Notamacropus eugenii: one gene and its partner. Each later gene encodes a partner of the first gene's protein in a complex. Links are inferred from orthologs where the notes say so. Each region holds a gene or a part of one and is shown in the gene's direction. Other genes may lie near its edges. The genes, in order: CTNND1 and cadherin-like protein 26.

Region 1 (7,541 bases):
GAGGCAGGTTCCGAGGGTGGGGTGGCCCCTTTCCTCCCCCTCACGTGGGCGCATTTAGGAAGGCCTGGGTCCAAGGTGTCTCTGACGACATGGTGAAAGAGTCTGGCCCTGCTTTCTTCTCTGTTTAGTTAAGTGGCTGGACCACGATCCCAGCCAGCCCTTTTTGGTTTTCCTCCCTCCAGGCCACTGGCTCTCTGGGTTCCCTCCAGGGATGCCGTTTCCGGCCAGAAGCCTCCACCTGTAAAAAGAGTGGGTGGAGCCAGGCCACACTTTAAGGGGAAATGGAATATCCTTTCTAGCTCTAACCCTGGGCCTGGGCCACCTCCAAGGTGCCTTGTCTCTGACATTCTGTGATTCTGTCTCCTGCAGTGTGGCTGAAACCGAAAAAGGCTGATCCAGGCATCCCCAGGGGTGCGGCTTCACTGGAGGAGGACTGCTGATAGAAAAGGGAGATGTCCAGAGATCAAAGCACCAGGGTGAGTATGTAGGGCAGAATGGAAAAGGGAACAAGGTGGAAATAGAAAAGGAATTAGAATGGGAGGCAGCTTGCTTGAATTGGAATTTTAATTAAATTTTTAAAAAAGGAAGTACTTGCTGCTAAGTGCTGGAGATATAAATATAAAATTAAAATATAAATATATATAAATGTAAAATATATATAAGCGAGCAAGCTCTCGGTCCTCCAAGAGTCGATAGAAGAAGACAGTACACACAGAGGACTGTGTGGCCCCAGAGGGGTTTTCTGATGACTGGCAGGTGCTCTGAGGAATGGTAATATTGATTTAATTGCTGTGATTACTGCTCTTTTATGACTTATCTATATTTGAATCTTATAACCTTAGACACCTTGCTTTGTCTAGGCCTCAGTTTCCTCATTTGTAAAAGGAAGTTAGTAACCTTATGGCCTCTAAGTGCTCCAGATAAAAAGGAAATGTTTAAAAAAAATAAAAATACAGTACAATATAATGTTAATTTGTGGTTTTCAAAATCAATATACACCCCACAGGGATCCTGCTCGAGTTTAACACCGTTGGACTAGATGATCTCTAAAGTCTCTTCCATTGTGTAATCAATATTTTCAAAAATTTCTCCAAATTGAGAATATCAATCTGAGAAGAGTTTGGTTTTTTTTTGAGGAAGCAGGAAAATTGAGAGGAAATAGAACAGAAGGAGGATGGATTTAGATGGAGCCAGCAGGAAAAAACAGACATAAGACAGAACCCTAAATGTTTATAATGTCTCACTGTAGTATCCCTAGATGATTCAGACAGTGGCATTCCAGTGACGAGATAGGGTTGAAATTTGAACAAAGATTAAGATTATCTTTGCTTTATCTTCTTGGAAACGTTACTATGAGGGCAAAGCGAAGTACCAAGAATTATAACAGTCATCTTTTATACTTTTATCCTAGCTAGCATAACTACAGTTTCATCCCGGGTCAGCAGAATTTTTAAAGGAAATGGCACATCATAGCCCTTCTCAGGATCTCAAAAATCATACGTTTTAGGTGATATCTAGTAACCAAAAGGGCATTTTTTGTGTGTATGTATTTATCCAATGCTTTCTTCAGATTGAATGTTTGTTAATCTCTACTTCTTGCTATTAATCTCTTTAATGTAGATTTCCAGAGTTGGCTAATATAGTATAGTTGTTTATATGCAGATGAATAGATGGTGATTTTATTTTATTTGTTTTATTTTATTTTTATCAGTCCTTTCTCTACTTTTAAAATTTCTTCCTAATCTTTACTTCACCAATTTAAATCATCATTCTGTGTACCTGTTGGTGATGGTTCTGTAAGCCTTAGAGAGTTTTGAAGTTGAATGAAAAATATATTCTGTGTATTTTTAAGACTCAAGCAGAGAATTTGTATGTGCTCGTAATACAACTTTGATTCTTTTTGTATTTAATCCAGTTCAGCAGATATTAGGCACCTGCTATATGCGATGAACCTGGTCTAAAAGACCAAAAGAAAAAAGAGTTTACATTCTTTTGGGGGAATAAAACATGTATATAGATGAAGAAATAGAAGATATTATGAAGCAGCCTCCCACCCCTCATTCTTTTCTAATTTAATATAGAGGTGGTTTCCACTCAGTGCTTAGCAATCTTTATTTAGAAGTGCAGGTTAGATACATTTAATTAAATTTTTTTGTTACCGTGTTTATTTGGTGATCTGTTATGTGTCTTTATTTTAATGTTATTTACAAATTCATGAATGTCCTCTTCATTCTCTGCAGATTAACTTGGAAATTTCAAATAAAGCCACTTTTAAACAGATTTCTTTGTTATGCACTTTCATGAGACAGCCCTCAGTTCATGTGACCTCTTCTATCTGAGCTAATCTGAAGCAGTTTTTTAAGTACAGTAATATACGGTGTCATATCCTGTTTTCCTTTAAATATTTTCTGTTTTCTCCAGGCAGCCGTCTTGGTCTAGTAGGATATCAGTGAATCATTCAAGTAACATTTATTGCTTATTATGTGCAATGTATTGTGATTATCAATTCTTAATGCTGTTTATCGATTGCCATTTCACTATGTTTTAGATTTGTACATTTCTTTCTCAGGAGACAACCAGAAGTATTAGTTTGGGAATCTTAAGAATCTGGATTTTAAGGATGCTCTGTCACTTAAAGAATTTGTGACCTTGAGCAGTTCACTTCACTTTACTAACTTAGCTTCAATTTTCTCTTTCATAAAATAAAAGTGCCCTAGAATGATCTCTAAGGTCTCCTTAGCTCTCAGTCCTATGTTCCTTTATCTAACGAAATCCTCATACTGTTCTTTTCAAACCTATCCAAGTCGTCATTCCTTTCTGTCATGCTTTTTTCCCCATTCCTGTAAAAAAAATCTTAGGCCCAGGCATTTCACACTATGGGACTAGGTTTAATATTCGTGTGTTGGTTCTATTATACAGGGTTCAAAGAGCAATATGGCATAGTTAGGAATGCTTTGTGAAAGAGGTGGGGCCTAACTCTTGAATTGGTTCTTGACAGATGGTTGGGATTTAGAGTGTCTGAGAAGAAGGAAGAAAAAATTAGTTTAGGGAAATATCCAGTCTAGCCGTGGGAGCCGAAATGATTGAGGGGCTGTTCTAGGAATAGTGACAAGATTAACCTTCCTGGCAGGGCGGGTTCTTGCCTGGGATCTATGAGATAAACTTGGGCAGGTAGGGTGGGGTGAGATTGTGAAGGGCTGGGCCCACGGTAATGCACTTTGTCCCCTAGGGTGCTGCTAAAAGATTTTACCGGGTGGGGAGAAATCTGACGAGAAAACCTGTATTGAAAGTAGAATTAATCTGAAATTGTCAGTTATTGTTCGCAGATATTGGGATTTTTTTTTCCTTTCAGAATGAAAAGGAAGTTTTCAACTCACATAACTTAATATTCAGTGAATATTAAATTCTGTGTGCTGGATTCTATACCAGAAACTTAACAACCCCTGCCCTTTAGGACCTGACATTTTAAGAGCGTCATTTATGCTAGACATATCAATATGTTTAAAAAAAAAAGGAATGTAAACAGTTTTTTGTGTAGTCCAGTGTGAGATAAACTAGCAATCATGAGGCCAACTCTGCCAACAGTTCCAAAAAACATATACTGTTATCTTTCTGAGATTTTCTCAGTTGATTTATCTGGGTAGTTTTTTAGTCTACATCACTTGTCCTTCTATATTCTGTATGGTTCACACATTTTTTGATTGGAAGAACAAAGACCGATTATACTAAAGAAACTATTCAGCCCAGGAATCAGTTTCAATTTTAAAAAATTAAAACAATGGAATTGAGATTTACCTCAAAGAAGACCCCTCCCAGTCTCCCCATAAATGGATTAAGTACAGTCTCATTCTTTCTCCCTCCCCCATAGTTAATAACAAAAAAAAAATCGATATATAAATCGACAGCTTATTTATTTATTATTATTTATTGACAGATGCCTGGACATCCCCTACAATCTGAAAGCAGGGGGAAAGGGTTTGAGGAGACATACGCAAAATCCTCAACAGTCCCATCCTCAAAGAGAACTCAGGAAATAGCTTAAGCTTTTTTCTATGCAATGATTTTTTTAAAAACTCAAAAAACTAAACACTTTTTTTCCATTCAGGCTCAGCCCTTGCCATACTTCCTCTAGGATTGTATATCCTTTGCTTTTGCAATATACATGTAGATATACATATTATATATATGCATATGTATTTTTAAAAGTTCTGTGTCTTTTTCTGTCTCTCTCTTTTTTTTTTTTTTTTTCTAATTCCTATAATAAAGTTTCCTATTGGATAAGGTCAGCTCCCTGATTTATGCCAGGTTTCTATTGGAAGTGCTCAAAGGCTGACATCACTTAGGAAAGCGAGGGGGTAGGGCTGGCAGACCAGTTTGTCACCACCCAGCCTCCCTTGCCTTTGGCTGGGTGCAACTTCCATTTTAGGTGTTGGATCTGAGAGGAAAGAAAAAAAAAGAAGAGGGAGAGAAGGAAAGAAAGAAGAGGAACGAGCCGTAAAGGAGAAAGAGGTGGAGAAAAATTAATACACTATTGTCCTTGTCTTTTTCGGCAGTACTGGCAAGGATTGGGGTTCCTTTTTGTAAAGGATTGTTTTTTAGAAGTCTGCAAACGAGGTGTGTGTCTGTGTCTGTGTAATGTGTCCAGAGGAGGGGAATGATAGGCTATCTAGTTGAATTTTTAATTTTTGCTAACTAGAGGGATTTTCAAAAGGTGCTGGATGTTTGGGAGAAATTCAGCTAGGCTGGCTAATTTTAAAACATTTTTTTCCTCTCAATTTTTGCTACTTTTAATTTTATTTTTCAAAGCAAAACAGCAAGGAGAAGGAAAAACTTCTGGGTCTCCAGCGCTGGGAGCTAGTTGAGCAGCTCCTGAGGGGTAAGAGCAGTCCTGTGAATTTGTCTGCTGGTGTACTTTCTGACTGTTCATTGCTTTCTAGGTCTAAGTGAACATATTTACATAACCTTTGGTAACAAAATTCTCAAAGTTGGGTTTTGGTGTATTGTGTGGGTTGAGACAGGAATTTGTCTTCAGGTCGAAAGCTGGTTTCGTAGATGGCTTTTCATATGTTTTAAAACTTATTTTACTTTTTGCCCTGTTTGTGGACGTGGAAAGTTGCAAGGAGATTTGCAGCTTAAGCTGTGGTAGTGGCTTCCCACTCCTCTCCCCCCGCTCCCCACCCAAGAGTGTGATTAAACTCCCGTACTCTGTTTCAGCCTCATGTTCCTGGGTGGATCCCGTTTTTTTACTTTTCCAGGTGCAGTGGGTGGGAGCCTCTTTCTCTTGTACTGGCCCTGCTGCCTTGCCTTTTAAAAGAAAACAAATGGATTCTCATGGACTACATTTCCCTTTTCTTAAAACTACCTTAAGTTGATAAGACTTTCACCCCTACTTCCGAAAATCTGCAAAAACTGTTACGAGAGTTTTGGAATTAGGAGGTCTTTTAGTTTACTTGAGTGAAGGAGAAAAATAGTTTAGAAATGATCTTAGCTTTTTATTTATTTAGAAATGAGAGGTTAGACAAGGTGAACAGAAAACTGTTACACACTTGAATTTCCAATTCATTTGATGAATTTTAAGAGGAAAAATATTTTTAAAAAACTGAAGTTTAGTTTTGTAGGTGAGTAGATTTTTAGTTGATTTCCTAAAAGATCAGAACTTTCGTAGCATTGTAGGCCACTGACTTTCCCCTCCCTTGTTTTAAATCTTTTTTATTTGTGAAGTACTTTTTTATATGTACTTCAACAAAATTTTAGATGATCATGTAGTCAGATCATTAGCTAAAGACTTAGACTTCCTCTTCTCCCTTTGCCCTTTTAACAATCAGAGCTACTCTAAAAACTATACATGCAATTATATTCTTGACCTAATTGCAACAAGATGGGCCTTAATTTAGTGGCCTTTAGTACCTAAACTATCATACCTTTAAAAGTTCCATGTATGTTTATTTCCTTCCCTTTTTAATTAGAAAACTTCCCTGAAAATGTTTTTGCATGCAAAACTGGAGTGTTGAGGGAGTTACTTGCTTTAGGGGTTTCAAAATAAAATGGAATTTCTTCTTTATGCCAGGACCAAAGTGGAGTGGTTCCTATAAGCCTTATCAATTCTTTCTTCCTTGACTCTGCAGTCTAAATTTAAAAAGAAAGGATGGCACATTTATGGGGAATATCCTAGGAGATGATTGATTCAGCCCTTTCGACTGTGTCTTTATTTGAATAGGGCTAGAAGAATTTGGACGCTATTCATCTCCCTTTTTCTGCCTTGGCTTCAGCCTGAGGTTCTAAATACATTTTTGGATGACTGATCAGAATTGCTAGTTGACCCATTATCCCTCTAAACCTTTAAGTGGGTATCTGTTGAGAAAGATTACAAAGACATTTTGAAAATGGAAAATAGGCTTTTGAAGACTGGGTAGTGGTGATTGGTGGATGGACACCGCACAGTGATGGTAGGATCCAAGTAAGTATCTGGAATAGAGGTTCTTAACATTTTTTGTGCTATGGGACCCCTTTGGCAATCTGATAAAGCCTATTGACTTCCTCAGCATAATTTTAAAAATTAATAATTGAAGGAAATGCCAATTTTAGTTAGACATTAGTAAAAACAGAACTTTTCCCCCAGAGACCCCCCTCCCCCCGCCTTGAAATATATTCTTTGGTCCATGGACCCCAGATTAAGAAATCTCTGGTCCAGAGTTAGTGGAGGCAGCTCTAGATGTTGTCATTGGCCTGTTTTAGATGAGGAAGCAGACTTGTCTTCTGTCTCCTATATTCAAGAATTGTAGGAGGTTTGGAACTCCAGAGAAGGGTACCGTCGGGTTCCTCTTTTGGAAGTGAGGGGAATGCCCTCCAGTTTGAGCGGTAGGCTAAGTAGGCATATTTTTATGTTTTGTTTTCACCTTTGTATTAATGGTCCATTTGATAAGTGATCCAGTGACCTTTGTTCTTGTGAAATCTCCTAGAAGGCAGGGTATTGTCAGGCTTCTATTTTTTCTAGCAGTGTTGGAACTGAATTGGGGGTAAATCCCATAATTGTATTTTCTTAGGCCATAGAGAAATGGAATTATAAAATTTGCCTTTATCTGACATGGAATTTAGAGTTTCTACTACCAGTTCCAAGTAGTTAAAATTAAAACCTGGTTGTCCTATTCCCTGAAGAGATGTAGGTGACAGTCTTGTGAATGTAACTAGTCTTTCAAAAGAGAAGATAGAATAGATGGAAAGAAATGGACCTCTACGGGCTCATTAAGAGACTTTGTGTTGCCCTGAAGAAATCATTATATCCTTCTTCTGGTAGCAGGTTCCCCTTTTACTTCCATTTCCCAGGCCAAGACTGCTGCCATTTCTAGGGGGTAGTTTAAAAAAAACAAACAAACCCTAGTAAATGGCACAATGTTTTCATCTTGTTCAAGGTCCTCATTTTACTTTTCCATATTGGTTTAAAGTACACAATATTCCTGCTTATTTCATCAAAGGAAAACCTATTAACTATCTACTATTTCCATGATGGGGAAAAAGAAGCTGGGCTAGAAATGGATACTTTT
Region 2 (7,900 bases), on another chromosome or scaffold:
ATTGGTTTGTTTTTGTCTTTGTAAACTCAGACATAGGAGGTGCTTAATAAATGTTTCTTGAATTAAATTGTGTGGATACAAAGGGGATACACGGATCTGTATAAAATACAGAATATAACACAGACCTGGTTCTCAGTGAAGTTATAGTAGAGTTAAGGAGATTAGGATGCATGGTATAGTCAAGGGGAGCAGTGCCCTGCAATAGAAAAATTCTGGCCTAGGTATCACAAGACCCTGGTTTTAGACCTGGCTCTTCCCTTTACCTACTTTTGTGCAATGCAACTCACCTGTCTGAGCCTTAGTTCCCTCTGATGTAAAATAAGGAGGTTGGGTTAGGGGCAATGTGTTATAGTATATATTTTACTTGATCTGGTTGGAGTCAGGACATTGAAAATGACAAGAGTGGAAAATAGAATGTCAAGTTCAGGTAAGAGCTAGCATGACAATACCTTGCATAGAGAATATGTCCAATAAAAACTTTTCAAAGATTTTGTTTTCATTTAATCTAACTGAGATGGCAAATTGTGTCTGTGATATTTGAGTTTTGTGACCATGGGCTGGTCATGTACACGTCCCAAGCCTCAGTTTCCTCATCAGTAGAATGGAGATAAGAATGTCTTTAGTATCTTACTTCTCAAAGTTGTTTTAAGTCTTAAATGAGAGAAACTGTGTAAAATGCTTTGCAAATCTCAAAGTGCTATCTAAAACCAACTATTATAATTATAGGATCATATACCTAAATCTAGAAGGGACCTCAGAAACCATTTAGTCTAAATTGTTCATTTTACAGGTGAGAAAACTGAGTCCCAGGGAGGTTATGGCTTGCCCAAAGTCACACAGGTAGGAAGGGTCAAAAAAAGTCAGCCCTCTTTTCTCTTTTCCACCTTGCTTCTACTTAACAATAAGTCTCTTGGATCCCTTTCTACATTGCAGTAGAAGACCCTTTGCTTTCAGATGATAAGAGTTGGATCAGTAGCACCAACAGTAAGTACTACATTAAAAAAAAATAGCTCACTGGGGAGAGGCTCAGGGGAAAGTTGAACATTTCCCTTTAGACTCTTGTACAGTCGGGATAGTTTTTAAACAACCCACGCCATTGTTCTTGCTAAGGTATGGATGAGTAACAAGAGTAGAGAAAACATTCTACCCTTGTTAACTTTTGAGGGGTAATGGAATGAAAGTGTGGGATCATCCTATTCCTTCATTCCCCTAAGAAAGAGCCAGCCAAATTTGAAAACTGTTGAAAGATTTAAGAGGTAAGGACAGACAGAGACATATAATGCCTATTTCTATTCAGGGACAAAACCCATCTTTTAGGAAATAAATTTTTCAACCATAGCGAACACATCCACACACAGAAAAAATCTTTCCAAGTGTAGAACATATACATAAGTGTTTTTACATCTGCTCTGACTTTTAGGGCCCTGGTAGAAATTCAACAAATTTTCCCAGCATATATCCTGAGGGAAATTACTGGTTTAGAGTATAGCTATCCCACCTTTTAGGGAAAATAATAAAATATGAAATCATGAGAGGGACCATAGCACAGTGGATAAAAAGCTGCCTCAGAGCCAAGAACTGTTTTCAAGTCTTGCTTCTGACACATACTGGCTGTGTGACCCTGAGCAAGTCACTTAATCTCTTATTGCCTTGGAGAACTCTGACTATAAATCACAAAGAAGGTGCCTAACTGCATCGATGAGTTTTCTCATCTGGGATTCCATTCCCTGCCCCATTTTCCATCAGTTTCTGACCCAAATTTTGCCCTTCCAGGCATCTCTAGGCTTCTCTCCTTCTTCTGGTTTTCCTCTTTCCTTTTGTTTCCCCAAATCTTGGAAGCTTCATCCAGGTATTAGTATTGTCTCTGTCCCTGGGCCTATGCTGTAGGCCCAGGATCCTAATAAAATCATTGTGAAAAATCACAATGCTTCTTTTTGAGTGGAAGGACACAATATAGTTATAGGTGCAGAAATTCAGTGTTATTGGGGGAATATTCATGAATTGTGTAAAAGATGGTTGTATTTTAAAGGAAATCTGGTTTCAGGAAAACTAAAAATTGTTATAGGAAATAAAAAGATAAAGGATTATGTGAAAAGTGTAGTATATTTATCTTTTTTTAGTATTTAACCTGAGATTGAGTCACTCGACACAGTCAGTGTGGTGTAGCAGAAAGTTTGTTGAAGTCAAGAACAGAGTAGACTGCTACTGAGTAGCAATCATTTTCTATCACCCTCTTTAAGAGACATCCCCTTGGTTCCTTGGTATGATTTGGCTCCGTGAACCTTGCTTTCATTCTGCATAAAATGAAGAAGCTGGAAAAAAATCAACGAGTCAACAGTGCAACATGGCGACCAAAAAACCTGATCTGATCTCTGACTGTATGAAGTGATATAGTGTATACAACAAGGCAGGTGATATTCCTGCTATGCAGCTTCCCCTGTTAGGTCATATTTATAGTTTCTCTAGTCTTATTCAGTGTATCAGGGAAAAAGAACCACAGTCATGCCACTTCCATTCAAATTACAGCATTGATTAATATCCTACAAACCATTGGTAGAGCTCTCACACAAAAGGAAACAAGGAAATGTGCTTCTGCTTCATAGGTACTTCCAGTCTCAAATTTGTGCTCGTTATGAGAAATGACTATACAGTGATGACAACCCTAGAGACAAACCTCTACCCAAAACCTCAGCCTGATACTGAGTAGCCTAAGGTCATTAAGACCAGAACTGTTCTTTACTCAGTGGCAAAAAGGGAACTGAAAACTGTTGCAAATACACCAATCCAGGGTGAATAAGCCCTTCAAATAGACTAAAGTTCTAAAGCAAAAAGGCTGAACATCTGCTGGCTGAGTATGATTCAGGGGGTATAATTCAGGTGTGGAATACAGTAAATGACCTCTGAAAGAGACTCCTTAAGATTCCATGAGTCTAAGAATATGCCAATTACAAGTAGACCAGATTAGGATGAGTAAAGGGGTTGGTTGAATTCCTGTTGTCAGCTATCATGCCCATGAATTTATTAATTATGCTAGCTGATTCTGTGTTTCCTTCCCTGCCCCTCATCCTTTTGGGATAAAAAGCCTAATCTAACCAATCTACATGAGGTGTATTATTTTTTGGTTCTGGAAACCATATCATGGAGGTCATTGAAAAGTTGAAAAGCATCCAAAGAAGGGCCCCAAGGCTATTGAAGATCCCATGATTCAGCTATAGGAGGATCAGATAAAAGATACACGATTGTTTACTCCAGAGAGAAAAAGACTTAGGAAAGATATTATATATTACTTCAGTTATTTGAAGAGAGGTCATGTGGAAGAGGAATTATACTTCTGCTCAGTTCCAGAGGGCAAAATTAGATATAAATGGATGGGAGCTGAAGAGAGACTGAGTTAAACTTTAGTAAAGACAAACTTCTCAACAATTAAAGCTAACCAAAAATTAAAAGAGAGGTAATTTATTCTCCTTCACTTCTGGTGAAGCAAAGGTTGGATGGCCATTTGTTGATAATGTTGTAAAGGAGATTCTTGGTCAGGTACAGGTTGGACTAGATAGCTTCTAAAATAACTTCCAACAACGAGATTCATGATTAGATGATCTCTAAAGTCCTCTCTAGCTCTAACCTTCTATAATATATCTGGATTATTGGGCATTGACCACAATCTAGATATCTTTTAGTCCTTAGAATATCTACCAAGATTTGATTTGTAAAGAGGCAATGTATTATTGTGGAAAGAATATTGGACTAGGAATCAGAGAGCCTGGGTTTGGATCTGGGCTTCACCACTGGCTGTGTAATTGTGGGAAAGTCAACAGATGTTGGTCAGAAAATATGGATTAAGATCTTAGTTCTGACACTTTCTACCTGTGTAACCTGGAACAAGTTATTAAGCTTTCTTAAACCTCAGTTTCTTCATGAAAAAAATGGGGGAGTTGAATTAGAAGATTGTTATGATAATATGACCTATCCTATCTGGTTCTTAGTTTCTTCATTTTAAAAAGAAAAGGTTGGATTAGGTGATGTCCAAAGTTTCTTTCAGCTCTAAATCCTGTTTCCTCCACTCTTTCTGATCCCATATTTGTGGCTCCTACACTTATCCATGGCTTCAGGTGGCTTTCTCTTTCTACTCTGAGATTTGTTAACACAACCCTCTGTGACCCTTTCTCAACCCCTTATTCCCTCATTTTATCCCAGAATTTACCAACCCTGGCTTAATTATGGCTTAATTTTTTTCCCCACCAATTCCCCTGAAGAATATTTACAAAGAGTAGCTCAATTGTAGGTGAGGTTCTTCTGTCAGCAAAGCTTCCTTTGGAGAGACAGTATTGTGAAACAGAAAGTATTTTATAAATTGATTTATTCAAACACAGCAAGTACTCTCTGGGCTCACTAGGCTGATTACCTCATCCTTTCAAGATTATAGGAGTTGGGATATCTCTTCTCTACTGTTATCATATTGATATCCTGTTACGGAAATGTTTTCCTCCATGGTTAGGAATCAGTGATTAGTGCCATAGTTCCATTAAACCAATTAATATCAGTTCGCATTTAAAGATGGATATTTACCTTAAAAATATGGAGATATAATAAGAACAGAAATACAAATATCCCCTCCTCAATAAATTGAGGGCACTCTCCCTCTTCTATCACTTCTGGCTCAGATTTAATGCAATTTCTACAAAGCATTGCTCCCACCAAGTTCACTTTCAAATGTGGCATTGCAGTCAGTTGAGTACTACTGCTATGCTGGGTCCCAAGATCTCTCCTTGCTTCTTGGGACAATGATGCTCAGCTGCCTGCAAAGCTCAGCATAGATTTGCCTGCTGCATCTCAGGTGGCTTATTCTTCTGACATTTTGAAATTCACAAAGTTGGAACCTCTAACATCCTTCACCTAAAATAGAAGAAAAACTGCCAAGGCAAAGAACCAAAGCCCATAGTCATGGGCCATGACTCCTCAGAAGGAGAGAGCCTCAAATCTCTCCTTTTAAAGCATTGTCTTTCACTAGACAGTGTCAGAAATTGTATCTTGATGATTTAAGTCTTTGTGGGCTCATATCAATTACATAACATGGAGAAGCACATTGAAATTGAACTTTAGTGGGATCTTTTTTGCATCAACTGAATTGTTATCAGGATATGGTCTAAGTGCACGAGTCTATGGGGTATTTATGAGGATGATTCATTTGAGATACTAGTAGAGGAGATATAACAAAACTTTTTTTAAAAAAGTAAGAAACCATAAAAGATAATACAGTAATGTCCCCCCTGAATAATTGGTCTTGGCATTAATGTTAACCACTGTTTTCCAGATATCCTTTGAAATTGCTGACCGTTCAACTTTGGAAACTGTGGATAACTCTTTATTTTTTGTTATCAAAGTTGTTGACATCAATGATAATGCACCACAGTTTGCTGGGGAAGAATTTAACATCACTATCAAAGAAAACCACAATCTAGGTGAGACCTGTTCACCTGTTGGGTGAGATTCATATTCCATTTTTTAATCAGTGGAAATATCATTTTTTATATTCTTAATATTTTGTTTTTCCCCAATTATATGTAAAAACAGATTAGTATTCCTTCACTTCTTTTATGGAGGCACCTTTACTTTGTATAGTGAAACAGGATAGAGGAAGAGTGGGAAGGGATGTGCAACTGAATGGTTTCAGGTATATATTTTCTTGTTCATTTCTTAATATTGCAGGCCTAATATTTCTTCTGATTCTTTCTGGTCCTTAAGCTAAATTTTATACTAACAATAAGATTACCTGGAAAATAATTCATTAGCATTTAGAACTCCTGGTGGACCACTAACAGCCTAATTAAAATAAGTCCAATCTACACTATGGAACTTTAATCTGTTGTAACAACTGATTTTTTTCTTTCCTTCTAGATAATCCTGTCTTTCAGGTGGTGGCAGTCGATTTGGACAAAGAGCAAACTCCCAATTCTGAAGTCTCCTATTCCCTTGTTTCACAAGTGCCGTTGATAAAAGGAAATGAGTTTTATATAGATCACAGCAGTGGAGAAATCCATGTCTCAGGATGCTTAGATTATGCGGTACTAAATTTTTTTTATTCTTTTTAAAAGCATGAATTTCTGTCTCCCACATGTGATTATTATATATGACTTCTAAGTGTGTAGGTGCATCTTTTTTTTTCCCATTCATCTTGTGTTGAGTAAATACATGCTGTGTTCAGAGGGGCAGCTAAGTGGTGCAGTGGATAGAGCACCAGTGCAGGAGTCAGGAGGACCTGAGTTTAAATCTCACCTCAGACACTTGACACTCACTAGCTGTGTGACCTTGTGCAAGTCACTTAACCCCAATTGCCTTATCCTGGGTCATCTCCAGTCATCCTGATGAATATCTGGTCACTGGATTCAGATGGCTCTGGAGGAGAAGTGAGGCTGGTGACCTGCACAGCCCTCCCTCACTCAAAAAAAAGTCAAGTGCAAGTCATGTCATTATTTCTCTGATGGCATGGTCTTCTTTAGCAATAAAGGACCAACACATACAACACAATATGTTCAGAGCACTGTGTTAGGTGTCTTGCCCTGAAAGAGTTGACAATCTAGTAGGTAATTAACATTCAAACATAGATAACTATAATGGTGTCTTTCTTAATCTACTTACACCTGTACTGTACAGACGTACACTGAATGATTTGGTACAGACATACACTGCATGATTATACGTATATATGCATACATTTAAAAACAAGTATATATTATATCTGTGAGTATGTATGTATGTATATACACACGTACACATACATATAGGAAAAAACAAAAGTTATCATTGAATCTGGGTTTTAATATTGGCTCCGCTTATTTATTATTTATATGACTCTAAGAAAGTTATTTTTTTCTGAGTCTCAATTTCCTTATCTTTAAAATGAGAGCGCTAGAAAGGTGATCTCTAAGATCTTTTCTCCTGCTGCATTCTACAGTCCTACAAAAATATTTCAAAAGATCTAGAGTTTCATTGGAATGGGCTTGTCTAGCCCATGAAAATCACAACCTTTCTAGTTAAGTAAACATTATGCATGAATTGTAGTGACCCCCAATAAATTTCATTACCTTCCAGCCAAAGTTGTTGAACCTCTCTGATCCTGGCTTGGCTGGTACTGGGACATTAGTATCAGAGTCTGTTGCTGGACTTGGCCCAATAACTTCTCAGTTTGATAGGATCTTCCAGAGCATTGCCTACAAGAACCCACATCCATGCCACCATGAAACATTGGAGGGGTCATTACAAAACAAATGGAAATGAAAGTTAAGCAACAAAGTCAATTGATTTGTTTTCTTGCCATATGTTGGGGAAACTAACTATTCGCCTCCATGCATAGGCTACCCGGTTCTTCAAATTACTGATTAGAGCAAATGACCATGGAGAGCCATCATTGTCATCCACTGCTACTGTTAACATAGCAATTGAAGATGGAAACAACCATATGCCTACATTTACTAAGGGACATGTAAGTCCAACAGCTAACTTCTGTTTTTTAATCATCATAAAGACCAAATGAGATTTGGTCTCCAGTTTGTGTCATACCAGGGTGTCTCCAGTTTTCTTGATGAGGTGGGAGGTGTCATGAAATTTGCAAAATCAAGTTGGTTTTAATTTAATATCATAATATTATGGGGAGGGGGTTACTAAAGAAGTGTGATTTGGATGTCAGGAAATAATGTCCAAAATAATAGCATGTCACAAGTGAGAAAAGATTGGAAATCGTTATTCTTGAACAACATGAGTGTATTATTTTGAGTGTGCATGATTTACTTTTAGATGAATTAAAGGAATAGCAAGCATCTGTAATCTCTATTTCCAATTTTTTGGTGTAGAATTAAAAGAAAGTATTTCCCAAAATAGTTAAGTATTTTTAAAACAATTTTCT

The links.
Region 2: CTNND1 (region 1) and cadherin-like protein 26 share a complex: the UniProt entries of both Homo sapiens proteins name them as parts of the cadherin:catenin adhesion complex. The link is inferred for Notamacropus eugenii from reciprocal best matches to the Homo sapiens genes CTNND1 and CDH26.

What each region holds. Positions count from the first base shown.
Region 1 is NC_092873.1:3,341,619-3,349,159, forward strand, and holds the start of CTNND1 (catenin delta-1), read left to right. Parts: upstream 1-4,381; 5' UTR 4,382-4,509; exon of another isoform or gene 4,510-4,614; intron 4,615-4,806; exon of another isoform or gene 4,807-4,876; intron 4,877-7,541. UniProt on the Homo sapiens protein: Key regulator of cell-cell adhesion that associates with and regulates the cell adhesion properties of both C-, E- and N-cadherins, being critical for their surface stability.
Region 2 is NC_092872.1:504,831,674-504,839,573, reverse strand, and holds the start of cadherin-like protein 26, read left to right. Parts: upstream 1-4,704; 5' UTR 4,705-5,290; coding exon 5,291-5,459; intron 5,460-5,895; coding exon 5,896-6,062; intron 6,063-7,351; coding exon 7,352-7,480; intron 7,481-7,900. UniProt on the Homo sapiens protein: Cadherins are calcium-dependent cell adhesion proteins. They preferentially interact with themselves in a homophilic manner in connecting cells; cadherins may thus contribute to the sorting of heterogeneous cell types.